7 linked regions of the Canis lupus familiaris genome follow. The protein of the gene in region 2 purifies or fractionates together with the protein of the main gene of each other region. This does not show direct contact. Links are inferred from orthologs where the notes say so. Each region holds a gene or a part of one and is shown on either strand. Other genes may lie near its edges.

Region 1 (3,500 bases), on a different chromosome or scaffold from region 2:
GGGCATACTTCGGGAGCTTCTCCACTGGAAGCAGTTGCTAAAAGAGAGAAACAAGGATGCCTGGGTGGCTCAGCGGTTGAGCGACTGCCTTCAGCTCGGAGCATGATCCTGGAGTTCCAGGATCGAGTCCCGCACTGGGCAACCTGCATGGAGCCTGCTTCTCTCTCTGCCTCTCTCCTTCTGTATCTCTCATGAATAAATAAATAAAATCTTTAAAAATGAATGAATGAATGAATGAGAGAGAGAGAAAAATGCCATTCACATTCTGCTGGCAGCATCCTTGAGCAAGCTGTTTTTGTGGGACAGCCAGGACTGCACTTCCTGGCACCCTCCCTGTGTCACTCTCCACTGTCCCCTAGGCTCACAAAGTGGGAAAACTCTGAAACAGCTTCCACATCAGGGAAAAACTATGAAGCAAGATCACATTTTGGCCAATGGGTTGAAATCCAAACTGGAAGAGAAGTGAAAACAAAGAAAATGGAGAAAAGCAATTCACTCACTTCTTCGGAACCAAAGGGCTTGGGCTTCAGAGCAGGCACATGCACCTCTTCATAGCCCTTGCGCTGGCGCCGGAAGGACCCATCAGGAAGCTGACAACGTTTATTGGCCATGAAGTGGCTCCCCTGGGTAAAAACCAGGTCCTCCAAGTCCAGAACCTGCCGTGGAGCCAGTGCCTAGGAGTATGAAAAACAAAAACCCAAAGTGAGCAAGGTGAACAAATGAGCTTTTTCCATCTAGCACCACCTTGGAAATGAACCCAAGACCTACCTCTCCACCCTGGTCCAGATCCATGGTTTCCAAGTCTGTGTCCATCCGGGACTGACGCACTCGCTCTCTCCGGGACCTTTCCTCCTGTAACAGAGAAAGGCCCAAAGAATAACAATCCATCACCATTGAAGGTTCTGGTCCCTTTTGGTCTCTGCTTAACTAAGCTTGACTCATGGGTGCTGACCAGTAAGTCCCAAACTAGAAAGACCGTCCTTTATGTTCAGACATCTGCCATCGGGACCACCAGAATGATGGAAGCAAGCAGTTTTAAAGGGACAACGGGGACACCTGAGTGGCTCAGCAGTTAAGTGCTTGCCTTTGGATCAGGGCGTGATCCCGGATTCCCAGGTTCGAGCCCCACAATGGGCTCCTTGCATGGAGCCTGCTTCTCCCTCTGCCTGTGTCTCTGCCTCTCTCTCTGTGTCTCTCATTAATAAATAAATATTTTTTTAATTAAAATAAAAAAAGTAAAGGGGCAATGCAGGGGCACCTGGGTGGCTCAGTCAGGCATCTGACTTCGGGTCAAGTCGTGGTCTCAGGTTCCTGAGACAGGGGCCCGCATCAAGCTCCCCGCTCAGCAGGGAGTCTCTTGTCCTTCTCCCTCTGCCCCTCTCCCCACATGTATACATATTCTTTCAAATGAATAAAATCTTAAAAAAAAAAAAAAAAAAAAAAACTTTCCTCTTAAAAAAGAGGACAATGCATAGCACAGGGATTTCAAAAGTAGATGTTCAACAATTCAGCACCAAGGGCTAACCCTAAAGATAGAAGTGTAGGTTCTATGTTCAGCCAACATATGTGTTCTATCCCTGCATTTTCAGTACATACCATTACTTATTGTGTCAAGGGCCCATGTGATGGGCCCATGGTGCTGTTGAAGACAGCAACAGGCTAGCAGTCTCTTGACCACAGCACTCTGAGTGTGTTAACTCTAATCTGTACTAGGGACAAACCTCAAAGAATTCAGAGAAATACTTTACTTCTTCAAACCTTCACTTCTACTATGAATTCAGCTTTATGCTACAATTTTCTTAAGAAAGGGCAAGAGTGCACATGAGTGGGAGAGGGACAAGGAAGAAAGAGAATCCCAAGCAGACGCCACACTCAGTTTAGAGCCTGACATGGAGCTCAATCTCACGAATCTGGGGATCATGACCTGAGCCGAAATCAAGAGTCGGACACTCAACCAACTGAGCCACCCAAGTGCCTCAACGCTATACTCTTACAAATGGTGTCTCTTTTCCAAAGCAAATATTCTAGTTCGGGAATCAGACAGATAAACTAACCCAGCCCTTACCCGGATCAGATCCTCCTTCTCAGTCTCATGGAGCTGGTAGAGGAACTTGGAGAGCTCTGGATCAGCTTCCATCTTTCCCATGATCCTTTCCTTTTCTGCCTCACTCTGTGCACTGGCCAGTAAGGTGCAATATAAAACTAACAACAGCAAAAGAAGGGGAAGATGAAAAGGAGGGGTTTGTGTAGAAAGCAAGCTCACTGAAACAGGCACTGAAGCTATAAAAATAAGAGTCCCCATCACACAAGCAAGCACATATACCACGAATGAGCTCCCAAAGGGACTATATACTCACTCATCATCCTGTGCTGTCGCAACACTTTAATAAAATCGAAAGTGTTGAAACCAAGGAGCAGAACCAGCTGGTTTTCACATTCCCGATCATCACTGGCTGTCTACAGAGAGAAGGTAATGCCATGATTAAGGATGCAGCCATCTGCTTCATACGCTGTCCCCACTGCTAAGATACATATGATGAACACAAAACATCTTGGCCATACCTTCAGAATCTCCAACACTTCATCTGCCTTCTTCTGTGACACAATGGCATCATCATAGAATCGACTGAGCTGCCGCTGTAGCCAAAATGCATCAATATCCCGAGGGTGCAAATCCTTCTTCTTGGAACTCATCAGTTCCCCTGAGGCCACAAGCTACAGAAGTAACCAGGTACTTAGCTTACGCCACATCTCCATTGGCCCCAACTGCTTACTCATCACCCTGCAACAGAGTTCCTCTTGCCACCAGAGTCTACCAGTCTTTGAGGACTTTCCAGAATTTAAAAAACCCTTATAATAAATTCAGGAGCATACCAAACTAACATTTCAACACATGCCTTTGGGAAGGAAAATGAGTGATTGAAATCTTAAGAAAATCAAGACGCTGAATGTCTAATGACTCCTATTAAAGGCCAGCTCAGTAATATGCAACAGGACCTATGCAGGAGAAAACAAATGCTACACCCAGAAATCCCCTAGCCTTGCAGCAATGGGCGAGAACAAGCTGTACTTACATTAGCCGAAAGAGTGCAGCGCACAACAGCCTCATCCCCTTCCATGTCATCATCAGATGCCTCTTCTCGAACTTCCCCATAGACATCTTCATCACCTTCCTACAGAAACAACCCAACCCCAGCTCATGATTTGGAGGTGATCCTAACATCAACAGAGAACCTCTCCCGAGTCCCTTAAAATTAGTTCCATGGTTAGAGCAATGGCTCTGGTACTGGTGGTGGGGAGACCAATAGCTTATTGGTACTGGTGATAGGGAGACCAACAGATCCAGAGTACATGTAATAAATGACCTCATTACTCTAAGTCCACTTGGCAAGTATTCATTAGATGCTTTTACTCTCTCTTCTGCTTCTCCTCTTAGGCTGCCACAATGACAACCAACTGGATCACAGTCTCTCTCATATGTGTACAATCGATAAATGATG
Region 2 (4,097 bases):
TTTGAGGAATCAGAAAAGAACCTGCTGTTGTACCTGGGCCCGTCTCCTGCTTTGTTATTTGATAGAGGGGGTTAGAATAAGGACTGGGCAGGGGGTGGGAAACAGTGGAGCAGGCCAGGATCCAGGCATCTACCGAAGCTGTGGGCTGGTCTTGGCACGTGGGTACCTCTTGGCCTTTGGTCCACCTTTCAGTCACTCATCAGCTGCTGAGCTCCTGTTCCTCTTTTGCCTGGGATCTGCTGCCCCCATTGTTAGCCTGGGGCCCTCTACGCACCACCTGCAGCACCCGGATCTCCTTTCCAAAGTGCTCATGCAATTCCTGGAAGCTGGAGGGGATACCGAGGGTGGCAAGAAAGCCACAGTCCTCTGGGGGTGAGCTGGGCTCTTGGCCAGCTGCCTGGCACAGCTCCCGGTACTGGGCCTCCAGGGGGGGTAGTAGCGCCACCAGCCGCCTCCAGCTCGCCCCAGCTAGTGCCCACAGCCAGGCTCCCAGCTCTTCCTGGTTTTCTGCTGCCAATTTGTAGGCACGCCCAGCTGTTCCCTCAACCCTAGGGGTCAGTATGGTAAAGGCATAGGGTTCTGTGGCCCCAAGGCGTGGCTCCACCCGACAGTTTTCCAAGAGAATGAGGCCCAGGGGTGTGTGGTCCGCCTGGTTCTCCAGGTAGAAGAGGAGGTTTCCCCGGAGGATGAACCAGCGGCGTTGATAGCTGATATTTCGGGCTCCTTTCTTCAGCAAGATGCCCTCGCGGTCTGGAGCTTTTCTGTATCCACGGAAGAAATTGAGTACGGATTTCTGGTGCAGTTTCATGGTAGTCCAATCTGGGAGTAGACCTTGGGGGCAGGAGAGAGAGCTGGTCCTAGCCTAGTGGGATTTAAGAGTGTCCTCAAGAGTACAGGTCTTGCTCCCCCCCCCCCCCCCCAGCACTGGGGCCGACACCTCCCACCTACAGTTCTCCCCTTTGGGCTAGTTTACAGACCCTGGGCAGGGGCCGCTGGCCTGGACCCCTATTTGCTTGCGCCTGTAGTTGGAGAGACGCACTGTTGCCCTTTTCCAGGCCTACCTGAAATCAGGGCACAAGAAACTTCGGCCTGGGTACTGGACACAGGTACCACCGTCACCTTTCCGAGACGGCTCTTCCCACCTCTCAAACCAGGAACTCCCCAGGGGATAGGTGTCGGGTAAATGACTTCCCCCGGGTCCTAAAGAGACCTGTGTTCGGCAAGTGCCCCGGAACCACCCCGGGCCTCCAGGCTGGCCATCAGAACCGGGTCTTGCCTCGGGGAAAAGAGCAGGGCCGCACCTCGGGGTAGGAGTGGACTGGACTGGACGCTGAGTGGAAAGGAAGGGTTTCCAAGAAGATTCTGGTGAGGGGCGCAAAGCCCTTGGGCAACCCTGGGGAAAGTGATTCAACTATGGAAAGGGAAACGGGCCATTGTCCCACTTTGCTCCTCCATCATGGTCCTGGGCGCCCCTTTAAGTAGAGTGCGCTCTGCTTTCTCCCCAGAGCCTCTGACTGCTGTCGGAGGGAATCGAAACCGCATCCGGCCATCTCTCTCGTCTGATCGGGGCCTAGGCGTTCGTACGTCCCCTGTTCTCGCCATTGTCGCCCCACACTGATCACGTCACTCTGGGTTGGGCGGGGAGGTGTTTCCCGCTCACTGTGTACTTCCGCCCGCTTCTCCACTTAGTCCCCTACCCCGAGTGAAGCCACTTCCGGCCTTCTCCAGCGCCTTCCGCAGTTCCCTTCCGGGTGATGGCGGCCGCTGCCCCGGACGTAGCCGTGGGGAAAGCAGCTCTCTTTTTCCTTCCCCGCCGGCCTCCCGTCGATCTTTAGGTGAGCGCGCGCCGGTGGGGTCCTGGAATCCTCGCGGTTCTGCCGCCCCTCTGATTTGTACACTTAGCCCGGGACAGTTGGGGGTCACCCCTCGGAGCCGGGAGTTCGGCGCGGGGAAGAGGGGGTCGGCCAGGACGCCAGGTCCTGGGTCCGCCCGGGCCCCGCGGGCTCTGAGGGAGCTGGGGGTGTAGGAGCCGGTGTCAGCCCTCAGAGCCTCGTCGCACCCAGGACTGCGGGGGCCAGGAATGGGGGGGCATGTGTGGGGGGTCTGTCTCCTTTCGTCAAGGGTGGGGGTTGCCCGTGGGAAGCCCCTCCGCGCGTCCGCCTCTCCGGCCCCGCACCAGCAACTCTTTTGGACCAAACCAAGTCCCCGGGGCCTCCTGGCGGCCGACTTCCCTTTCGGCCCCTGACTCTGCACCCTCTCTTCCCAAGCTGGATCTAGTGCGTACCAGGTGATTATTTGTTGTGCTGGCGGCCCTTCGGCGGTGAGTAGCCTCGCCCAGTTCCCTTAATCTGCACCCTTTCCCTCGCTCAGCTTGGCGAAGGCCCCTCTGTGCAGGCATGCCAAAGAGGAAAGTGACCTTCCAAGGCGTAGGAGATGAGGATGATGAGGATGAAATCAGTGTCCCCAAGAAGAAGGTGAGGTGGCCAGACTCCTGTATTCTGGGGAGGAGTGAGGGCAGGGAGAAGGAACTGGAGGCTAGAAGAGAAAGAAAGCTGGTGGGGATAAAGCGGTGAAAGGTCTCGCTTTTTCCATGTTCTCTGGGAAATGGGTTTGGAGAATTTTCAGTCTGAGAAAGCTTTGAAGAAAAACCTTCCTAGAGTACTTTGAGGAATAGCCGCAAACCTGCATCTCTCAACTTGCTGGCTCCTCACAGCTGGTGGATCCTGTGGCTGGGGCAGGGGGTCCTGGGAGCCGCTTCAAAGGCAAACACTCTTTGGACAGTGATGAGGAGGATGATGATGATGAGGGGTCCAGCAAATACGACATCCTGGCCTCAGAGGATGTGGAAGGTGAGCTAAACCCAAGAATTGTTGCTGCTGGAGGAACAGATGGGGTTTCACGGGATATGGGGTGGAGAAGGCTCTTGTCTGTTTTTGCTTGCTCAGCCTGGGCCACCTGTGTCTTTGGTGCAGGTCAGGAAGCAGCCACACTCCCCAGTGAGGGAGGTGTGCGGATCACACCTTTCAACCTGCAGGAAGAGATGGAGGAAGGCCACTTTGATGCTGATGGCAATTACTTTCTGAACCGGGATGCTCAGATCCGAGATAGCTGGCTGGACAACATTGACTGGGTGTGGCCCAGGGGTTGACTTTGGCTGGGGACCTGGAGGCAGCAAGTGCTGGGCTTGTGCCCTGCTCACGGTTTGTAAGAGATAACCGACCCCCCCCCCCCCACCCCGTTTTCATATCACAGGTGAAGATCAAGGAGCGGCCACCTGATCAGCGCCCACCTTCAGACTCAGAGGAAGAAGACAGCCTGGGCCAGACACCAATGAGTGCCCAAGCCCTCCTGGAGGGCCTTCTGGAGCTGCTGTTACCCAGAGAGACAGTGGCCGGGGCACTGAGGCGTCTGGGGGCCCGAGGAGGAGGAGGTGGCAAAGGGGGCAGCAAGGGGGCTGGGCGGCCTAGTTCCCCTCAGCGCTTGGATCGGCTCTCTGGGTTGGCTGACCAGATGGTGGCCCGGGGCAACCTCGGTGTATATCAGGAGACAAGGGAACGGTTAGCCATGCGGCTGAAGGGGTTGGGGTCCCGGACTCAGGGACCCCCTGACCCCACACCCCCACCCTCTCTGGACATGTTTGCTGAGGAAGTGGCAGAGGGGGAGCTGGAGACCCCAACCCCCACACAGAGGGGAGGTAAGATCAGAAGGCAGAGGAGGGGTGTTGGGGCAGGAGGTAGGGCACTTGAGGGCCAGATGGCTTTGCCTGTTGTTTTAGAAGCAGAATTGAAAGGAGATGATGGTCTGGTGGACGTGATGTGGGAATATAAGTGGGAGAACACAGGGGATGCTGAGCTGTATGGGCCCTTCACCAGCACCCAGATGCAGGTAAGCCCTTTCCTGCTTCTACCACTACCCCCCTTCCCTTCTCCCATGAGTCTTTCCCCAGCTCTGCTTTCCTTTCCTGCAGACCTGGGTGAACGAAGGCTACTTCGCAGATGGTGTTTATTGCCGGAAGCTGGACCCTCCCGGTGGACAGTTCTACAACTCCAAACGCATTGACTTTGACCTCTACACCTGAGTCTGCTGAGGGCCCAGTT
Region 3 (4,274 bases), on a different chromosome or scaffold from region 2:
ACACCAAGGCTCCGTGTTCCCCGTGACAGGTGGGCCTGGGGGGCCAGCGTGAACCCCCTATGGCCACGTAATTTCTGTACAAATCCACCATCTGGGGCAGAGTGCGGGCACGCGGAGGCTATTTCTTGGCTTTGGCGGAGTTGCGGGGTGGGGTGATGGGCCGGCCTCCAGGGTTCAAGCCACTGAATTGCCCGTATTTCCCCTTGTTCTTGTCAGCGGGCTTGAGTATCTAAAAAAGACAAGAGCTGGTCAAACTCATGGGCTAAGCCACAGGGTCACCAGCCCCCCTCCTTCCCCCATCCCAACCTGGAAGGAGCACATGAGTGTCTCATCCACACTCATCATGGCGCCTGCATTGTCAAACTCGCCACAGTAGTTGGGAGCCGAGAAGAGAGTCACCAGCTGCCGCTTGGCAAAGAATTCATAGCCATCTTCTACCACCTGGATGAGGATGGGGGCAGTTTGTTCAGCAGGTGCTGGCTACCCAGGCCCCACTCCCACCCGCCCCAGAGCTGCCAGCCCACCTGGTGTGCCCGGCAGATGAGGTCCAAGTCGTGCTTGTGCAGGAATTTGGCCACTACCTCAGCCCCAAAGGTAAAGGAGACACCACGGTCATTCTCGCCCCAGCCCTGCACGTCCTTGTCAGGGTCAGACCACAGCAGGTCGCACAGCAGGCCCTGGTCCGGCACGTCTGTAGGCCGCATGATACGCCGAATCTGCTCCATGGACTGCAGGTCTGGGGACAGGCCTGGGGGAGGGCAGGTTACTTGCTTAAGCCTCAAAACAAAGAGTGACATGCAAACCAAGACCACTGGGAGAGGTCTTCCAGGTGACGGGGAAGACATCCTCCAGCTAACAGCCTCATCCCAGGGCTCCCCGGGATGTGGCCCAGGGCTCTTCCTTCCCAAAGAACCCTTCAACATGTACCCTAGAGCCACTCTCACCTCCATGGCAGCAGAAGATCTTCTCATCCACGATGGCAGCAATGGGCAGGCAGTTGAAGCAGTCAGTAAAGGTCTTCCACAGTTTAATATTGTAGCGTCTCTTGCCTGCTGGGAGGAAGGAGATGCCTCATGAGGCCTATCTGCCCCACAGCCAGCCTGGGTCTTGAGGCCCTCCAGACACAGCTGGGAGAAGAGAATGGCAGACAAGAAGAGAATCCCCCCTCCCCCGACTCCGCTGCCTACCAGCCTTCCAGGAATTCTAAAGCAGCTAGGTCCAGAGGAACCTGAGTTCCAATCCGAAACAACCCACCCGCACCCAGTGAGCAGGGCCAGGCCAAGACTAGGCCTGGTTTATCTCAGCTTCTGGTTGGTAGGATCCAGTCCAAATAGGCATCCCAAGTGCCTAATGGATGTCCTGGAGGGGAGTGTCATGAGGCAGGGCCCTGCATTAGAACATGGGCAGTCCTCAGCAGTCACTCCCCAGACCCCTCCTGCGTGCCGGCCCCACGGCAGGAGGGCAGGCAGAGAGGCACCAACTGGTGTGCACCCTTCGCAGAGCTCGCGGTCTGTGGGTAGTGGTCAGACACCAATTCCCCTACTGCCAGGCCTATGTGAGGGTCTCCCCGAAAAGGGAAGTCACTTAAGGACTTGGGCTACTCACACTCATCGTAGAAGCCATAGATGCGGTTGATGCTAGCACACTCATGGTTCCCACGGAGCAGGAAGAAGTTTTCGGGGTACTTGATCTTATAGGCCAGCAGCAAGCAGATGGTTTCCAAAGACTGCTTGCCCCGGTCCACGTAGTCCCCCAGGAAGAGGTAGTTGCTCTCTGGAGGGAAGCCACCATACTCGAAGAGCCGCAGAAGGTCGTAGTACTGGCCATGGATGTCACCTGTAACCCAGGGAACCGGTTCAGCGCTAGGTGCAGGGGCTACACTTGAACCCAGGGCCAAGTTCGGGCTCCAGGGAGCAGCAATGCAAGGACTGGGCGGGGTGAAGTGGGGATTCCACTTTCAGAAAGCCAAAGGGATCTGGGCAGCAGACTCACCGCAGATCTTGAGGGGTGCCTCCAGCTCCAAAAGAATGGGCTGGCTCAGGAAAATCTCCCGTGATTTGAGGCACAGACCACGGATCTCGTTCTCTGTTAGCTGTACATTCTTTCCAGGCCGCGAGCCCTGCACTGTGGGAGGAATGGGGTGTCAAGACTCTGGTCCCTCAGGCAGGAGGAAGGTGGGCGACACAAGTGGCCCTATGGGCACATCTGAGGGCGCCTGGGCCTCCTAGGCCCCTCCCTGCCTAGGGGCAGCTGTTGCTGGTGAGCCTCCCAGGACCTCCGCCTCTGGCCTCCCAGGATGGGACCCCCTCGAGGGGGTGTGCTGTGCGCGGGGGCCTGCCACCCAACACCCCACCCATAGCGCAGGACCCCTGGGAGGGGTGGAGCTAGGCTTCTTAGGTTTCTCCCTCACTCCCAATAGCGCAGGCCAACCCGTGCGCCCCCCGCCCAGGAGGGGGGCTGCTCCCCGTGCCAGAGCGTCCCCGGAACCCCCCTCCCCCGGCGCGCCGCGACTCGGGGGGCGGCTGTGGCCACGGGACCTTGCGGCCCGTCCCCGCCCAGTCTAAGCTGGCCCGGGGAGGGGCAGGCCCGCCCGCGCACCACTTCCGGGCCAGGGCGCGGCGGGCACCGACCTCCCCGGCCCCGGCCAACCTTCCAGCAGGCGCCCGATGATGGAGTCCAGGTTGAGCTTCTCACTGTCGGACATGGCGGCGCCGCCGCTCCGCCCCAGCAGCTCCGGGCCCGCTCCTGCCGCCCTCCCTCCCGCCCGCTGCCTCCTTCCGGCCTGGCGCTCCTTCCGCCCGCCCCGGCCCGCCCCGGCCTGCCGCCCCGCCTCCCCGGCCCGCCGCCCCGCCCTGCGCGCTGCCCCCGCGCTCTAGCGCTCCCGCCGGACACCGCGCGCAGCGGCCGCGGCGGCCCGGGGGGCGGGGCATAGGGGACGGGGCGGGGCTCGGGCTGAGCTCGGCCGTCGGGACGGAGCCCGGCCGGTGGGTGGAGCTCGGAGGGCGGGGTCGAGTCTGGTCCCGCCCCCGAGGAGTTACCCGAGTCCAGTTCCGAGAATATGGGGCCGGAAGTGCTGTGGGAGTTGTTTGTCTCTGTCAGACGCTAACCCACCCCCTGGGCGGGAGCGTGGTATGAGCACATTAATAACCGATGCTCCAGACACTGCGGATCAAGTCCTCGAAGTGCAGAAAAGGAAACGGAGACTCAAGAGATAGCAGGGGGGTGGGTTGGTCCAAAACCCTGGCCTCACATTCACGGGGGGCCTCCACCTCCTGAGTCTCTGCGGCCCTCAAGGCAGCTGGCCAGACCCAGGCACCTGCCGCGGCGCTCTGAACCCATCTTGGTCCACGCTGTGCTGCACGCTGAACTAATTTTTGTAAGTTCCGTTATTGCCTGCTGAGTGCATAATAACGCTGCGTTAGGTATATATTCAAAGCATTACTTGTAAAGAGCAAATATTAAATAAACGAGAATTCTCACTGGAATCTTGAATTGTTTTAACCTCAAAACTGGAGGGGCCTGGCCTCTGTAACTCGGGTGGGTCCTGGACTGGTCACACCCTGCTCTGGAGCCCAAGCCTGCAGCCACCCAGCCCATGGGGAGGGTGGGAGGAGCCCACGGTCCTGGGGGCACTGGGGCAGGCCGGAAGAGCCTCAGAGAGGAAGAGGTGACCCCCCCACACACTTGGGAGGGGAGTGTGGGAGGGGCCCCCCAGCCGGTGGCTGAAGCTGCTGAGAAGGAGGAAGTGAGAGGAGGAGGTGAGGTGCAGCAGGGAGGTAAGCTGGCCTGGGGGGGCAGGGGCTGGGCCTGGGGACCAGCCTCTACACAGAGGTCTGGCTTTTCTGCCATTTCAAGGCTCACTCTCACCCTCACCCTCCCACCCCGATAAAAGAGGGGACAGAGGGGGCTTGGTGAGATGCCCTGAAGTCTGTGCCCTCTGAACCCTGCAGCCAGGTCCCCGGGCTGGGGACCGGCTGGATGGGAGCTCAGGCCCCAGGCTGGTCAGAAGCTGCCTCTCACACTGGCTTTCCCCACATCTTGCAGCCTGTGGTAGCTTGGGTCTGGGGCACCATGGCCCAGGCCCTGGGGGAGGACCTGGTACAACCTTTCGAGCTGCAGGATGACTCAAGCTCTTTGGGGTCCGACTCAGAGCTGAGTGGGCCTGGCCCATATCGCCAGGCTGATCGCTATGGCTTCATTGGGGGCAGCTCAGCAGAGCCAGGGTAAGTGGGGAAGGGATGAGGGGCAGTGGGGTGCTGGGAGTGAGGATGGGG
Region 4 (4,020 bases), on a different chromosome or scaffold from region 2:
TGTGGAGCTGCCCCCACCAGCACACACAGCTCTGCTTCTGCTCCTGAGTGGATCATCTCACAGAGCAACAGCTGTGACTCCTCCACTCCCATTTCCAACATTTATGCTGGGTCCTAGGAATTCAAGAGGGAACAGGACCTAATGGCCTCTGCCTTTGAGAACTCAGGGTGGGAGGGGAGGAGGTTTGGATCCTTAAAGGGGTACGTATCTTACACTGTAACCAGTGGTTTGCACAGGGGCCGCCAGTCCCAGCAACTGGGGGTTGCGGGTCAGAGGAGGAATTATGTGAATTGCGATTTTACTTTTTAAAAGACTTTGTTTATTCATGAGACACACAGAGATGTAGCCAAAGGGAGAAGCAGGCTCCCTCTGGGGAGCCCGACAGGAACTGGGTCCGGGATTACGACCTGAGCCAGAGGCAGACGCTCAACTACTGAGCCACCCATGCGCCTTGGGATTTTAACTTCTAAGTAACTTCAAATTTGGGCCCCCAAGGAGGGGGGTGGGAATGAGCTCACATACCCAGTCGTGCTGTGTGGAATTTTGCAGTTTCTGGGGGTTCAAAGTACAGATTTAAAAACCCAATCCAAGGTGAGGGGGGTGCCTGGGTGGCGTCTCCCACTCTTGGTTTCGGCTCAGGTACGATCTCAGGGTTCAGCTGGCCCTTGTCTCCCTCTCCTTGCCGCTCCCGCTTACGCGCTCTCTCAAATAAGTAGATCTTAAAAAAAAAGAAACAAAAGACAAGGAAAAAAGAACCCAATACGAGTAAGGTGGAAAGGCAGCATTTGATAATATCGGGTGTAGGGGCTCAGAGGCTGGGCTGGGTCTCAAAACAAGCTGCGGCGTCCCACACCCGATGGAGCCACGACGAGGGGGCGGGGGCGGGTGGAGCCCACCGGGAGGACGCCGACTGGAGCGGCGGGCGCGGTGCACGGTAAAACCGGTAAACCCGTGAGGCAGGGAGCGTCTGGTGGCGGGGGGGGGGGCGCCTCCAGCTCCCAGATTGCCGGCTTTAAGGGCTTATAGTTCGGAGGCCTGTAACCCCTACACCCGGCGCACGCACGCACTTCGAAGACCGCCACCAGACCAACAGCTCCGCAAACACGCAGCCGGGCTCCAACCCCGGCCTTCCCGTGAGCCCTCGGGGCAGGCACCGAGGCGAACGGCGGAAGCAGCCACTCTTGGTTTCCGGCAACACGACAGCGGCTGCCGGGCGACCCGGAAGTAGTCCCATTTTGCGTCGTCGGGGCTCGGCGGCGGCCGGGCTCGGGGCGGACGTACCACCATGGGGTCGTCAAAGAAGCACCGTGGGGAGAAAGAGGCGGCCGGGACGACGGCGGCGGCCAGCACCGGAGGCGCCACCGAGCAGCCGCCGCGGCACCGGGAGCACAAAAAACACAAGCACCGGAGCGGCGGTGGCGGGAGCAGCGGTGGCGAACGTCGGAAGCGGAGTCGGGAGCGTGGGGGCGAGCGCGGGGGCGGGCGGCGCGGGACCGAAGCCGAGACACGCAGCGGCGCGCACGGGCGGGAGCGCGGCCAGGCTGAGCCCTCAGAGCGGCGCGTGAAGCGGGAGAAGCGCGATGACGGCTACGAGGCCGGTGAGGGCGGGGCCTGTGGGGGCGGGGCGGGGCGTCCCGGGGCGGGCGGTCTGGCCTGGGTGCGAGCCGAGCGCTGCCGCCCCGGCTCCCCGACGCTGTCTCCGTCAGCAATTATTAGAGAGTCTCCCCGTTTGGGATTAAAAGTTGTCTCTCTCTACTAACCTCTGCGAGGGCAGAGGTTTTCTGTTGTCTCAAAATTGGCCCCTCACAGGCCCTTATTTGTTGAGTGAATGAATCAATGAAGTTGTTCTAGCTCGTGCAGAACCAAGAAGAAACCTGATATTGGGCAAACCGGGTAGGGTTCATAGCAGAGATAGGAAACCGGTCGGAGCACAAAGGGCCCTACAGAAATTTGAATTTTGTCTTGAGGGTGGTAGAGAGCCATGGATTTAAGCTGAGGAATGAGTTGATCATATTTTGCAAAGATTCCTAGATTGAGACCTGGTTCAAAAATAGTCAAGACTGGAGGCCACGTGAGGATTGATAGTGGCGTGTGCTGAGGCAGCGGAGGGTGGAGAGACCTGAACAGATTGAAGAACCGTTTGGGAGGAGGAATTAGAGCTTACTTAGCACTTGGGTGAGGGTAAGAAGGAAATGAGGATGGCTCCTTAAATTTTGGTTTGAGCAACTGGGTGGGTGGTTGTGTCTCCTGAAATTGAGGACTTTGGGAGAGAAGCAGACTTTTGAGGGGAGAGAGTTCAGTTGTGGAGAGCATTGCAACCGATAGGGTTTGGGCTGGATAGAGCAATTTGGAAGTCATAAGTAAATCAGGTGGCAAATGAAGCCTGGCGAGAGAGTAAGGAGTGGGCAGTAGAACCTTAAAAATGCCAGCATTTTCGTAGTAGGTAGAGTAAGAGGCTATAAGAATGCTTGATGGTACAATATCCAGAAAAGAAAACTATAGAATCTTGTGTCATGGGGTCTGTTGCAAAGAATAGTCAATGGTGTCACACACACCACAGAAAATAAAGGAAATTCGAGCTGAAAAGAATCCGTTGGATTTAGAAATAAGGAGGCTGGTGACCTTGGAGAGAGCCTAGAAAGGTTGAGATCCAGGGTCCAGGTGAGGTATAGGGGAAGAGGTAGGTTATGGAGTGGGGACGCAGGAAGGATGAACAGGTGGTAGCACCTGGGTGGGGAAGCTCCATCTGGTGGCGTCTAGCCTCTGTCTGTGTGTTGTGTTCCGAAGTTACTTGCTGAGTGAGAGATGAGTAGAGGAAGTCTGAAAAGCTACTTTATCTCAGCATCCTCACTATCCATCGCAAAACAGGGACCATTAAGTGTATTTCTTGACTGGATGAACTGCGCAGAGAACACAGTCATGCTGCTAACACAGTCCCTGACCAGTGGGGAGAAACAGACCTGGAAGTGAGTGATGAGCTGTGGAGTTCAGGAGAGAGCAGTTCATTCTGACCAATAATTAAATAGGAGTTCAGAAGGAGGTGGCATTTGGTCTCAGCATTTGGATAGGATCTCGTCTATCAGAGTTAGGCCAAGGAGGGCAGTGTGGGCTGAAAACAGAATGTACAGAAGTGGAGAGGAGGCAGAGTGAAGGCTGCAAAAAGGTTGGACCTTTTGGGGCAGGAAAGGAAGGTTATGTTGGGGTCTCAAGAGATTGGGACTGAGATGGAAGGAGCTACTGAGATGGAGGAAGGTTGCTGTTTTCGAGTGTCTCAGTAGGGCCCGGGTATGGGTAAGGGAGGTCCCTGCAGAGCTCGAGCCAAAGATGTGGTTTGTTGGCCCTTTGTTCAGCTCCTGAACTATACTTCTTGTTCCAGCTGCCAGCTCCAAAAGTAGCTCAGGAGATGCCTCATCTCTTAGCATCGAGGAGACCAAGTAAGTTCTGTCTTCCTGATGTTTCTACTTTTATTTTCTGAGACAGAGGGCTTCTGGGAACAGTTTCCTGGGGGACCATTCACACACTAAGGCATTCTGACTGGAATTGGAAATGACGTATAACCATTTGAGTTACAGAAAAGACGCTAAGACCCAAGAGAAAGATGGTCTTCTGCTGGTTAGGGGCAGGCCAGGCCTAGTGCCTGTGTTCCCTGATTTGGAGGCCAGCATCCTTCCCAATGTCCTTGGCTGCCTGGGTCAGTCTCTGCTTTGGGGACCCTTAGGACTTCTCAGTTCCATCCTGTTTTCACTCTCTATCCAGAAATGTCTCTGATGTCCCTATTTTGTTGGCAGCTCCTAACATGTGTATCTCTTGTCCTCAGTAAACTCCGGGCAAAGTTGGGGCTGAAACCCTTGGAAGTCAATGCTGTCAAGAAGGGTGAGTGTGGGACTGAGGATGGGGGTGAGGGAGGGCATTTGGGTGGAGGAGAAAGATCATCTGAAGGGGTCTTTGAGGAGGATGGGGTTATGGCACAGGTTCAGCACCATTTAGTGGCCATGTGTGTGTATGTGTGTGTGTACACAC
Region 5 (3,500 bases), on a different chromosome or scaffold from region 2:
TGGGGACATGTGGGTGGCTCAGCGGTTGAGCGTCTGCCTTTGGCTCAGGGTCTGATCCCAGATTGCCGGCATCGAGTCCTGCATCAGGCTTCTTGCATGAAGCCTGCTTCTCCTCCCTCTGCCTGTGTCTCTGCTTCTCTGTCTCTCATGAATAAATAAATAAATAAAATCTATAATAATGATAATAATTATTATTGTAAAAATTACTTTTACTATTATTATCATTATTATTCTAGTAGTAGTACATCCTGGGTGGCCATCAGTCTGACCAGGAGATACCAACTGAAAACAGATCTGCCTTCCCCCAGGTACTAATGGAGGTCATCCTCTCTTGCATGGCTCATTAGCCATTAGAAAAACAGATACAGGGCAGCCCTGGTGGCGCAGCAGTTTGGCGCCACCTGCAGCCTGGGGTGTGATCCTGGAGACCTAGGATCCAGTCCCACGTCGGGCTCCCTGCATGGAGCCTGCTTCTCCCTCTGCCTGTGTCTCTGCCTCTTTCTCTCTGTGTCTCTATGAATAAATAAATAAAATCTTTAAAAAAAAAGAGAGAGAGAGAAAGAAAGAAAGAAAAGAAAGAGAAAGAGAAAGGAAAGAAAAGAAAAGAAAAGAAGAAAAAGAAAGAAAGAAAGAAAGAAAGAAAGAAAGAAAGAAAGAAAGAAAGAAAGAAGAAAGAAAGAAAGAAAGAAAAAGAAAAGAAAAGAAAAACGAAACGAAACGAAACGAAACAGATACATGTGTAGAATAGAAACGTGTGCAATCTTTCCCAAAGGGAAAGAATCCGTTCAGGGATTGTTCTGAGTAGATCTGAAGAGATGAAATATTTATTTAATTTAGTGTAAGTGCTCATATTCAATAAAAAATCATAGATTCAGGGATCCCTAGGTGGCTCAGCGGTTTAGCACCTGCTTTGGGCCCAGGGCATGATCCTGGAGTCCCGGGATTGAGTCCTGCGTCAGGCTCCCTGCATGGAGCCTGCTTCTCTCTCTGCATGTGTCTCTGCCTCTTTCCCTCTCTCTGTGTGTGTCTCTCATGAATAAATAAATAAAATCTTTAAAAAAAAATAAGATTATAGATTCATAGAGATACTTGAAAATTTTTGTCAGCTGAGTTCCAAGCAACCACTGAGCCCTGCTTCTTGCTCCTCCCTGGCCTCAGTGTGACATCTTTTAGAACATACTCCCAGGAAAGTAAGATAGTACTGCCCTCTGAGCTCATGGTGCTATAACTTGAAGAGCTGAAAATCAGTCTTTTCAGTTTTAGCTTTCTGGAAATCACAAGTAGATCCGTACCTCAAGCCGCTCACTTACTCCTGTGAGAGTGTATAGTAATGGCTTGCTCTTCTCCTTCCACAGGCTTTGTGGACATGTGTGTGCAGCATATCCCCTCTCCAAAGGTGGGCGCCAAGCCCAAGATTGAGCATACCTACACTGGTGGTGTAGATTCTGATCTCGGCGAGGCCATGAGCGACTGTGACCCTGACGTAAGGGAAAGCCCACCATTTCTCTTGATTTTTGTCCCCTCCTGTATGAGTCCCCTGTTTTCTGGTCATAAGAATAATGCCGTCTTTCCATCCTTGCTTTTCACTCACTCCCCATGAGCAACGTCAAACAGACCTGAATTCAAAGCCTGGTGTTACCACTTCTAGTGGTATGATTTGGGGAACATTATTTAATCTTTCTAAGAGTCGTGGTCTATAAAATGAGGATTAAAATATGTATGTGGTTGTTATAAGAATTGAATGAGATAGGGAAAGTATTATAGTTGTTCAGCATGGTACCTAAACTAGTAAAGATTCAACAAGTGTAGCTGACCTCGTCAGTCTTGGGCTTTAAAAAACATCTTTCCCAGGGGTACCTGACTGTCTCCATCAGTAGAGCATGATCTCTGAGTCATGAGTTCAAGTCCCACATTGAGCGTTCAGCTTACTTAAAAAATAAAAGTCTTTCCCAGTCATTCCTTAGTCTAGTTTCTCAGCATAAACATACAACCAGTTGAAAATTGTGAGTTATGTTTTCAGAGGGAATGTGAGGCAAGCATGTCTTATAACCTTGTACTGTAATGCAGTGCCAGTCTGGCATCCTAAACCTGCTTTTCTTCGCCATTGCCCACATCTCCCTAGAGAACAGGAAAAGAGGTTTTTTTACTATGCCTGTGACATCTATATACTAAGCAGGGGGTAGGGCATGGCTTGGAATTTCCCAGGAGATTGACGCATCTTCCTCTAGGTCTGGGCTTTTCACAGAGCCCATGTCATTGCTGTCAAGGGAGGTGGAGACCATGGCATTTACCCTGGGAATATGTGTGGTTGAGCCTATGCTCTGTCCCCACCTCCAGGGTCCTCTGATGTGCCACACTACCAAGATGTACAGCACAGATGATGGAGTCCAGTTTCATGCCTTTGGCCGGGTACTGAGTGGCACCATCCACGCTGGGCAGCCCGTGAAGGTCCTGGGGGAGAACTACACCCTGGAAGATGAGGAGGACTCCCAGATATGCACTGTGGGCCGTCTTTGGATCTCCGTAGCCAGGTAATGCCAACCATCACCTGTAGAGGTATGCCTTGGCCTTATTACTGGAGCTGCCACAGGAGCTGGGAGAAGTGGTCCTCCCTGGAAGCACAGCAGCTTCATGGCCCCCCCTACAGCAGGAGATCAGCCCATTCTCCCTCACATCTGTTGACTTCTACTTCTTACTACCCAGAGTTGCTAGGGCCAAAAGGCAACTACTATTGGGATAATGCCAAGAGCCTTGCCTTCACATTTTGAAGGCTTGTATAAACTTTGTAGCAGGATTTCTATTTTTACTCTTAATCCTCTTCCTCTTCTGTGTTCCTAAGTCATAACCTTTGTGTTTCTTCCCAAACGAAATTGTCTCCCAGCCTCCACTGACTATTCTTTGACCAAGATAGAAGATTTTGCTGGATATCTTGTAGCTTCCCCATCTGCAGAATCAGACTTAGCTTGAACCTCTGGGCTGCTCATGAGTTCATAAGTTTGGCTTCTCAGCCAGCAAGCAGAGTGCAGGAAGTTGTGTTCCTGACGTTGCCTGCTGCACCTGGCCCCCAGCCCCTTCCCCCACTCCAGATTCACTCGTTCCCTAGAAGGCAGAAGATTGATGAGCTAGGACAGTCACAGTGTTTTCTGTGATGCTTTTGGCATCTCCTTACATTCTACCCCTTGGGCGCAGTGCCTTGCTTACCACTAGTATCCAACTGGAATTCAGTTTTCCTCTTTGTCCTCTTACAATACCATGCGTTTTTCTGTCATGGGCTAATTAATTAATTTGTATCTCCAGTTGGCCCTTTAATAACACAGGTTTGAACTACATGGGTCCATTTTAATATGTTTGTGAGGTGTTTTTTTTTTTTTTTTCCAATAAATACACTATAGTTCTATAAACGTATTTTCTTTATCTTATTATTTACTTAGTATTTTCTCCTTTTAGCTTTCTTTATTGTAAGTATAGAGGGCGCCTGAGTGGCTCAGTTGGTTGAGTGT
Region 6 (3,376 bases), on a different chromosome or scaffold from region 2:
GCGCCCTGGGCCAAAGGCAGGAGCTAAACCGCTGCGCCACCCAGGGATCCCAGATTTTTATATTATTAATAGCAAAATAGAAGAGAAAAAAAAAAAAGGAAAAGGAAAAACAATACCTTGGTTGCTGGCAGTAGAAATTCCAGAACAAATGAGGGCAAAAGAGGCAGCAACAGGAGTTTGAAGTCTAAGTGCAGAGGGTGAGGTTCTTTTCCTTCACCATAAATTTGTATTTACTGTGTTAATTCACTAAGTTTAGAATACTGTTACTACACAATCCTTTTAGGGAAAGACCTGTATCAATTACTCAGAGCACCTGGCAATATTAACTCCACATAATTGTAACAGTTACTAAATACTGTCACTCCATTCTATGGGGTAGAAAATAAATAAAGATACTTCTTAGCAAAAACAATATGGACAGAAGCCAGGAAATAGTTTCTAGTTTAATAATACCACAACTATATCCAAAATAAAAAATAAAAATAACACTGAATCAAAGATTACTTATAACTGCAGAACATTTTAATTCTAAAGAGCTTTAATACATGAAAAGCCCCATAGTTTCCAAATGCCCATCAAAGAGGGAATGAATTATCAGTCCCATCAGAGCTGGGGGAAAAATTTTTAAAGGGGGTGGAGGGATGAAGGCTGACAACCATTCTCTTTCAAAAAGATAAACACTGTATCCTCAGATAACCGCTCAGAATGTTACTTGATATGAATAGGCAAGAGGGTAATAACTGTCCGTGTTTGCCTTATACTGTATTGGGCAATTAAATGCCAACTGAACTATTCAAGAATGACTTGCTAAAACGTTGAAAAAATGAAAGACTTCGTCCTTGTCATAGACGGCCACTTCCGTGGAACATTCGGTGCACATAACGGGGTGATAGATCTCTTCTGCTTGTGCCTCTGTCTGCTCTGCAGCGTCTTCGTGGTTAGACCTCATCTTCTTATGGCCTCGCCTTTTCTTCCTGTTCTCTGGGATTTTGTATCTTAGAACCTCCTCTTTGTTGACAGAACAATTCATCACAAACATTGCTCTATACTGAGTTTTGTATGATTCATGCCTAAGAAGAAAATGAGATGGAGAATTTGGATTTATGTTCAATTTTAATAGGTTATCCATCCAGATTTTAAGATTTTATTGAAGAAATTAGCTGACACAGTGTTACATTAGTTTCAGCTGTACAATTCAGTGATTCAAGAAGTTTACACTAATTATGCTATACTCACTGGAGGAGAGCTATCTTCTGTCAACATACAATGCTGTTACAGTATCATTGTATTTTACCCCCAGGACTTATTCACTCCTTACCCAGGAGCCTGTGTCTCCCACTCCCCTTCACTCATTTTGGCCATCCCCTACCTTGCTCCCCTCTGGCAATCATCAGTTTATTCTCTGTAATTAAGGGTTTGTTTCTGCTTTTTTGTCTGTTTATTCAATTGTTTTGTTTTTTAGATTCTATATATAAGTGAAATCATACAGTATTTGTCTTTCTCTTATTTCACTTAGTGTAACACCCTTTAGGTCTATCCATGTTGTCACAAATGGCAAGATCTCATCCTTTTTATGGCGAAGTAATACTCTACTGCATATATATAACTATTCTCTCTTTATTCATCAAAACACACTTGTTTCCCTATCTTGGCTATTGTAAATAATACAATACACACAAGTGTGCATATATCTTTTTTAATTATGGTTTTTGTTTTCTTTGGATAAATAGTAGTGGAATTACAACATAGGTTATTTCCATTTTTAATTTTTTGAGGACTCTCCATACTGTTTCCCACAGTGGCTGCACCAATTTACATCCGGACCAACAGTGCACAAAAGTTCCCTTTTCTCCACATCTTCACCAACACTTTTTATTTCACATCTTTTTTTTTAGCCATTATGGCAAGTGTAAGATGACACTTCACTGTGGTTTTGAGTGCATTTCCCTGATAATCAATGATGTTGAGCATCTTTTCATTTATCTGTTGGACATCTATCTATATGTCTACTTTGGAAAAATGTCTATTTAAAAAAAAAGGAGGGATCCCTGGGTGGCACAGCGGTTTGGCACCTGCCTTTGGCCCAGGGCGTGATCCTGGAGACCCGGGATCGAATCCCACGTCGGGCTCCTGATGCATGGAGCCTGCTTCTCCCTCAGCCTGTGTCTCTGCCTCTCTCTCTCTCTCTATCATAAATAAAAATTAAAAAATTTAAAAAAAAAAGAAAATCTAAAAAAAAAAAAGGAAAAATGTCTATTCAGTACTCTGCCCATTTTAATCAGATTATTTGGTTTTTTTGGTGTTGCATTGTATCAGTTCTTTTTATATTTTGGTTTTAATTCCTTATAGATAGGTCATTTGCAAATATGTTCTCCCATTCAGTGAGTTCTCTTTTCATTTTGTTTTTTTTTTATTCTTTTTAAAGATTTTATTTATTTATTCATAGAGACACACAGAGAGAGAGGCAGAGACACAGGCAGAGGGAGAAGCAGGCTCCATGCAGAGAGCCTGACATGGGACTCGATCCAGGGTGTCCAGGATCACGCCCTGGGCTGCAGGCGGTGCTAAACCACTGTGTCACCGGGGCTGCCCTCTCTTTTCATTTTGTTGATGGTTTCCTTCACCATGCAAAAGATTTTTATTTTGGTGTAGTCTCAATAGTTTTTATTTCCCCTTGCCTTAGGAAACATATCTAGAAAAATGTTGCTATGGTCAATGTCAAAGAAACTATTGCCTGTTTTCTTCTAGGAGCTTTATGGTTTCAAGTCTCACATTTAGGTCCTAATCAATTTTGAGTTTATTTTTGTGTATGGTGCTAGAAAGTAGTCCAGTTTTCCCAGAATCATTTATCGAAGAGACTCTTTTTCCCCCATTGTATATTCTTGCCTCTCCATATAGTTTTTTTTTTTTTAATATTTTATTTATTTATTCATGAGAGAGACAGAGAGCGAGGCAGAGACACGGGCAGAGGGAGAAGCAGGTTCCCTATGGGGAGCCCGATGCAGAACTCGATCTTAGGACCCTGGGATCACAACCCGAGCCAAAGGCAGATGCTCAAATGCTGAGCCACCCAGGCGCCCTGCCTCTCCAGATAGTTAAAATTGAGAACACAAAAAACTTACTAAAATACAACATTGCATTCTCATGAAAAACATAAGAACAAAATGGGAAATTTAAAGAAATGTTAAGAATAGGAAAAACTTGTTAACAGAGAATAGTTTAAAGAATGAATATATCCTCTTTTCCACTACTTTAGAAGTAACTTTTATCTCTGAAAAAAAAAAATTGTTTGCTCTTCAAACTTAGAAAAGTTACTGGAAACTTGAGAGTTAATGTTTAAACGATCTTCGACTGTGTCTTTCACACTGAGGCCTAC
Region 7 (4,233 bases), on a different chromosome or scaffold from region 2:
GTGTGTGATAAGTCACATTTCAAGATATTAATGAATAACAATTCATATAGGGAATGAAACTGTTCCCATAGTGTCATACTTTAACTACGCAAGCTGACCACCAGAAGGGACTTTATCAGATGTCTGTGGCAGAACAAATTACTGATGAAAGGGAAAGTCAAGGAAAGGATGGATCTATCCTACAAGAATTCAAACAGCACCTTCAGTACATTACTTATAGGAGGAGGTGTGGGGGGGGGCAAAGCTGTCTACCAGGGTGAGAGGACTGGATAAATGTTGGAATGAAGACAGGAAAACTGATGCCACCCCTAAGAAAATGCTCATAGCGAAGGATACCAACAGAGACTTCACAAAAGACATACAAACGGACAAAAGTATTTGGAAAGTTACACTTTACTGGTAACCAAAGAACAGCAGCTTGGAAGATTACTTGACAAAGCCATTAAGCTGGTAAAGATGAAAACAGTAATGCAAAGTGCGAATGGACACGCATTTCATAGTCCCCGCTGGAATGCAGAGAAGCAAAACTTTTCTAGGAAGGAAACACCCTGAGCAACGATACTTCTTCTGAGAACTAATTCGACACGTCCACAAAAGATTTACGTAGAAAACATCACTGTTCTTGATGGTAAAAAACAAAACAAAACAAAACAAACAAAAACAAAAAAAACTGAAAATAACCTGCATGGCCCAAAGTAGGGGGATTGGAAAAATAAACAAATAAACAAACAAACTGGAAAAATAAAGGCTAATACAGTCCTGCAAGCTACCGTCATTACACAGCCACAGAATACCGTGCTACGAATGAACTTCTCAGATCCCGAAACGTTCCCACCGTGAAGAAGTCATAAAACAGACTACAGAGCGTGACCCCGTTGTGGTGCAACACAATACTGCACACGCATTCTACGTGTGCGTGGAAAACCAACTGGAGGTCCATATCCCCCAACACCATCAGCGGTCATCTCTGCGACCGAACAGACAGCAGGTGATTCTTAATTACATCGGAGTGAGCATCTTTCTTCTTCCAAAATCTTCGAGAAACACAGACATACATACATCAGCAACGCCTCTGGGCGGGCTGCTCCTGGCCGCCAACTGCTAGGGCGGACGATACTCACCTCATTTGTCCAGGTCACCTCTCGCTCTTCCGCTTCAGCGGCGTCCGCCACCTTGGCCTCCTGTCCAAAAAAGTCAGGACGTCGGCGGCTCCTCCCACGTCAACGCAGCCGCCTTAACGCACCGCAACCCAGGCGCTCCGGCCCAGCGGCTCCCAGAGCCCCGCTTAAGAAGGCGGGAGCGGAAGAAGGAAACGCACAGGCGCAGTAGATGAACTCGCGGTCCTCAACAGACCATCAACAGGGGGTTATCCGAGTCATTGCCCACTTTGCCGGGCTTTGACCGGAAGCTATGGAGTCACTTCCGCCCTTATTAAACATGACCGACCTTCTGCCCTCACCCTCCGTCTTGTCTCGCCTTTTAGGCTGTGATTGGTCGTGACGAGACTCGGAAGTGTCTTCGAATCAGAGTCCCAGAGGAGGACACTCTAGCCTTGAGCGCTTGGTCGCTTTCTGTCCCACACTTGGAGCGGGGAACCGGCGTTTTCCGGTCTTTCCTCGATGGTATCTTCGGATGGATAGAGGGGACCGCGCAAGGTATTATGGGACAGTGATGGCCGCGTTCGCGGTTTGGGTTTGGGTCTGTGAGGCTGTCTGAGTGAGGGGTGGTGGTGCCGGCGCCCCAGAATCTGGGACGGAAGGTTCTGAGAGGCGGGCTTGGTGAGGTGAGTGCCCCTTCTTCCTTCCTGGCCTGCCCTTCGCCAATCATGGCAGCTCCAAGCGGCGGATATGGGTCGTTCCTTCAGGTTCCAGCCCGGGTTTGCGAAGTCCCATCCCTGTCACCCAGCTTGCCTTTCTCACCGTAGGGATGCTGCGCCGGTGCGGCTGGCCCCATCCTTCCTCCTCGATCCGGTCGGATCCCGCTTCCTGGCCGGAGGTGCAGGGATGCTGCCCGGGGGCTCCCCCGCACCCTGCCTCAGCCCCCTGCATTAGCCCCCTCCCCGGCCGACGCCGCCACACGCCGGGCGGCTGTGTCTTCTCGCCTCTGTCACAGTGTGTCTTCACTAGGCGATCTCCTCTACCACAGTGTCGACTCCAAGAGGCGAGGAGTTTGGTCTGTTTTGTTCTCTGTTCTGTTCTTTTCCTCTTGCCCAGAACAGCGACTGGCTCACAGAAGGCAGTCAGGGAAAAATTGTTGAATGAGTAAATCTAGTTGTTCTGAATTGGGTTTTTTTTGTTGTTGTTGTTGTATTCTCTGTGGCTTCTTTGTCATTAATCATTCCCCAGAACCCAGCCCCTTAACTCCTGCTTGTTCTCAGCAGCTAATTAGGTCTCCTCAGATGCCTTGATCCTGGGCTGTTGATACGTTCCTTTGCTGTCTCTAGAAACGTGGGGCTTCCTGTTCTCCACGAATCAGTTTAAATTCATTCACCCATTTATTCATCAAATGTTTAATTTTGCCAGGCACTGGGTACAGCAACAGCAAGACAGACAAGGTTCTCTTTTTCACAGTATAGGACTTATTTTCGAGTTCAGACTACTGGTGAGCAGAACATACATGTGTTTACCTTCCTATTTAGATTTCCTCACCTGCACACAGACGTCATCAATATGCAGCTCTCTCCCTCCTCTTCTACCTGATGGCATTTTCCAAGATGCAGCCCTCGTGTCTTTGTTCGTATTATGCGTCCAGTCTGTTTGGCGATATTTCCCTGTTAGAGCGGCGCCTGTTAATTAGAGCTGGGCAAAAACATTCTGGATTCTGGTGGTACCCTACACCTTAACAGTTCCTTTGCCTCACTGACTTGCTGAAAGGAGAATTATCCAGGCACGTGTGTTTATAAGTTGTTGGTGTGTAATGGGAGGTAAAGAGGAGTTTGTTACAAGTTGTGTGGGAAAATCTTACAATCGCCTTAATACTTTTCAGGAACACCATTTCATTACCTAGTGTTTCTCATCAATATTTTTGGTGAACGTGGATTGTCTTTAAACAGATTTCAACTGCTGTGAGGTAATTCTTTTCTCCAAAACACAACTGGTCCCCGAAAAGTCTTTCATGTGTGGATCACATGGTTGGTAGCCTTATACCCCAATGTGACTACTCTGCTCTATCTGTAGTTTAAAGGGAGAGACAGGCAAAAGAACTCCGTAGAAAAATATTGATCCCCCTGGGTGGCGCAGCGGTTTAGCGCCTGCCTTTGGCCCAGGGCGCGATCCTGGAGACCCGGGATCGAATCCCACGTCGGGCTCCCGGTGCATGGAGCCTGCTTCTCCCTCTGCCTATGTCTCTGCCTCTCTCTCTCTCTGTGACTATCATAAATAAATAAAAATTAAAAAAAAAAAAAAGAAAAATGTTGAGCCCCAACAGTTTATAGGAGCACAGCAAATAAAATAATGTAACACTTACCTTTATGTAACACTTTATGGTTACAGAGAGCTTTCACACACTTTTGTATTTGATTCTTAGGATACTTCCATGGAATAGATAAAGGAAAAAGTATTTCTATTTTTTCAAATATAGAAATTATGCCTAACCAAATACCAACTTATCTGCTTACAATCACAGAAGTAGAAATTGTCAAAAGCTTGCTCTCTAATTGAGGATTCTGACTTAAAATCTAGTGGTGTTTCCCCCTAGAGTCCTTTTCTATATGCCGTCATGTTCTGATAAGTGCCCTTTAGTGAGGTCTGTTTTTGCCTGGATGATACCCTCTTGGATCCTGATATTTGGTGGATGAGAGAGAGAAAGAGAGAGAGAGTCTTTGTGTGTGTGTGTGTATTTCTGATGTGTGTAGGAGTGGGGATCAGGATCTTTTGAGATTGTAATTGACTTAATGGAAAGGTCTTGGCAAGAGGTAGCTAAACAAAGCCTGGTCTTGATGGAGAGGTCACCCCCCCTGAATATACTTATAACTGTAGTTATCTTGGGATACAGTGGAGTCAAACCTTTTCTCCTTTTACATCCAGTACAAAATAGGTTGACTTCCTTCCACAGACATCCCAGAGCCTGTCATGGAGGACACCAGCGAGGATGCCTCGATCCATCGATTAGAAGGCACTGATCTGGACTCTCAGGTTGGCGGTCTTATTTGCAAGACCAAAAGTGCAGCCAGTGAGCAGCATGTCTTCAAGGCTCCTGCCCCCCGCCCTTCATTGCTGGGACTGGACTTGTTAG

What was found.
Region 1: the proteins of CD2BP2 (region 2) and SNRNP200 purify together in Homo sapiens (affinity purification with mass spectrometry; 8 studies listed by BioGRID and IntAct, counting the BioPlex papers as one, with this or other methods). This does not show direct contact. The link is inferred for Canis lupus familiaris from reciprocal best matches to the Homo sapiens genes CD2BP2 and SNRNP200.
Region 3: the proteins of CD2BP2 (region 2) and PPP1CA purify together in Homo sapiens (affinity purification with mass spectrometry; 3 studies listed by BioGRID and IntAct, with this or other methods). This does not show direct contact. The link is inferred for Canis lupus familiaris from reciprocal best matches to the Homo sapiens genes CD2BP2 and PPP1CA.
Region 4: the proteins of CD2BP2 (region 2) and SART1 purify together in Homo sapiens (affinity purification with mass spectrometry; 4 studies listed by BioGRID and IntAct, with this or other methods). This does not show direct contact. The link is inferred for Canis lupus familiaris from reciprocal best matches to the Homo sapiens genes CD2BP2 and SART1.
Region 5: the proteins of CD2BP2 (region 2) and EFTUD2 purify together in Homo sapiens (affinity purification with mass spectrometry; 7 studies listed by BioGRID and IntAct, counting the BioPlex papers as one, with this or other methods). This does not show direct contact. The link is inferred for Canis lupus familiaris from reciprocal best matches to the Homo sapiens genes CD2BP2 and EFTUD2.
Region 6: the proteins of CD2BP2 (region 2) and E2F-associated phosphoprotein purify together in Homo sapiens (affinity purification with mass spectrometry; 3 studies listed by BioGRID and IntAct, counting the BioPlex papers as one, with this or other methods). This does not show direct contact. The link is inferred for Canis lupus familiaris from reciprocal best matches to the Homo sapiens genes CD2BP2 and EAPP.
Region 7: the proteins of CD2BP2 (region 2) and DHX38 purify together in Homo sapiens (affinity purification with mass spectrometry; 3 studies listed by BioGRID and IntAct, counting the BioPlex papers as one, with this or other methods). This does not show direct contact. The link is inferred for Canis lupus familiaris from reciprocal best matches to the Homo sapiens genes CD2BP2 and DHX38.

Annotation. Positions count from the first base shown.
Region 1 is NC_049238.1:34,654,953-34,658,452, reverse strand, and holds part of SNRNP200 (U5 small nuclear ribonucleoprotein 200 kDa helicase), read right to left. Parts: intron 3,174-3,500; coding exon 3,075-3,173; intron 2,716-3,074; coding exon 2,563-2,715; intron 2,458-2,562; coding exon 2,358-2,457; intron 2,203-2,357; coding exon 2,066-2,202; intron 853-2,065; coding exon 769-852; intron 675-768; coding exon 501-674; intron 38-500; coding exon 1-37. UniProt on the Homo sapiens protein: Catalyzes the ATP-dependent unwinding of U4/U6 RNA duplices, an essential step in the assembly of a catalytically active spliceosome. Plays a role in pre-mRNA splicing as a core component of precatalytic, catalytic and postcatalytic spliceosomal complexes.
Region 2 is NC_049227.1:17,900,526-17,904,622, forward strand, and holds the start of CD2BP2 (CD2 antigen cytoplasmic tail-binding protein 2), read left to right. Parts: upstream 1-1,297; 5' UTR 1,298-1,365; intron 1,366-1,505; 5' UTR 1,506-1,580; intron 1,581-1,689; 5' UTR 1,690-1,835; exon of another isoform or gene 1,836-1,992; intron 1,993-2,123; exon of another isoform or gene 2,124-2,267; 5' UTR 2,268-2,287; intron 2,288-2,370; 5' UTR 2,371-2,396; coding exon 2,397-2,474; intron 2,475-2,713; coding exon 2,714-2,849; intron 2,850-2,972; coding exon 2,973-3,130; intron 3,131-3,252; coding exon 3,253-3,694; intron 3,695-3,775; coding exon 3,776-3,885; intron 3,886-3,967; coding exon 3,968-4,078; 3' UTR 4,079-4,097. Other genes in the region: sesquipedalian-1-like, read right to left, coding at 200-808. UniProt on the Homo sapiens protein: Involved in pre-mRNA splicing as component of the U5 snRNP complex that is involved in spliceosome assembly.
Region 3 is NC_049239.1:50,565,131-50,569,404, reverse strand, and holds the start of PPP1CA (serine/threonine-protein phosphatase PP1-alpha catalytic subunit), read right to left. Parts: upstream 2,801-4,274; 5' UTR 2,705-2,800; coding exon 2,650-2,704; intron 2,125-2,649; coding exon 1,993-2,124; intron 1,837-1,992; coding exon 1,606-1,836; intron 1,050-1,605; coding exon 945-1,049; intron 749-944; coding exon 525-748; intron 442-524; coding exon 307-441; intron 230-306; coding exon 119-229; 3' UTR 1-118. Other genes in the region: TBC1D10C (carabin), read left to right, coding at 3,979-4,223. UniProt on the Homo sapiens protein: Protein phosphatase that associates with over 200 regulatory proteins to form highly specific holoenzymes which dephosphorylate hundreds of biological targets.
Region 4 is NC_049239.1:51,813,363-51,817,382, reverse strand, and holds the start of SART1 (U4/U6.U5 tri-snRNP-associated protein 1), read left to right. Parts: upstream 1-1,220; 5' UTR 1,221-1,285; coding exon 1,286-1,598; intron 1,599-1,795; exon of another isoform or gene 1,796-1,893; intron 1,894-3,376; coding exon 3,377-3,434; intron 3,435-3,817; coding exon 3,818-3,873; intron 3,874-4,020. UniProt on the Homo sapiens protein: Plays a role in mRNA splicing as a component of the U4/U6-U5 tri-snRNP, one of the building blocks of the spliceosome. May also bind to DNA.
Region 5 is NC_049230.1:18,507,319-18,510,818, forward strand, and holds part of EFTUD2 (116 kDa U5 small nuclear ribonucleoprotein component), read left to right. Parts: intron 1-1,355; coding exon 1,356-1,483; intron 1,484-2,337; coding exon 2,338-2,531; intron 2,532-3,500. UniProt on the Homo sapiens protein: Required for pre-mRNA splicing as component of the spliceosome, including pre-catalytic, catalytic and post-catalytic spliceosomal complexes. Component of the U5 snRNP and the U4/U6-U5 tri-snRNP complex, a building block of the spliceosome.
Region 6 is NC_049229.1:13,537,479-13,540,854, forward strand, and holds the end of E2F-associated phosphoprotein, read right to left. Parts: intron 1,071-3,376; coding exon 794-1,070; 3' UTR 501-793; downstream 1-500. UniProt on the Homo sapiens protein: May play an important role in the fine-tuning of both major E2F1 activities, the regulation of the cell-cycle and the induction of apoptosis. Promotes S-phase entry, and inhibits p14(ARP) expression.
Region 7 is NC_049226.1:78,391,002-78,395,234, forward strand, and holds the start of DHX38 (pre-mRNA-splicing factor ATP-dependent RNA helicase PRP16), read left to right. Parts: upstream 1-1,433; 5' UTR 1,434-1,655; exon of another isoform or gene 1,656-1,783; intron 1,784-4,053; 5' UTR 4,054-4,070; coding exon 4,071-4,233. UniProt on the Homo sapiens protein: Probable ATP-binding RNA helicase. Involved in pre-mRNA splicing as component of the spliceosome.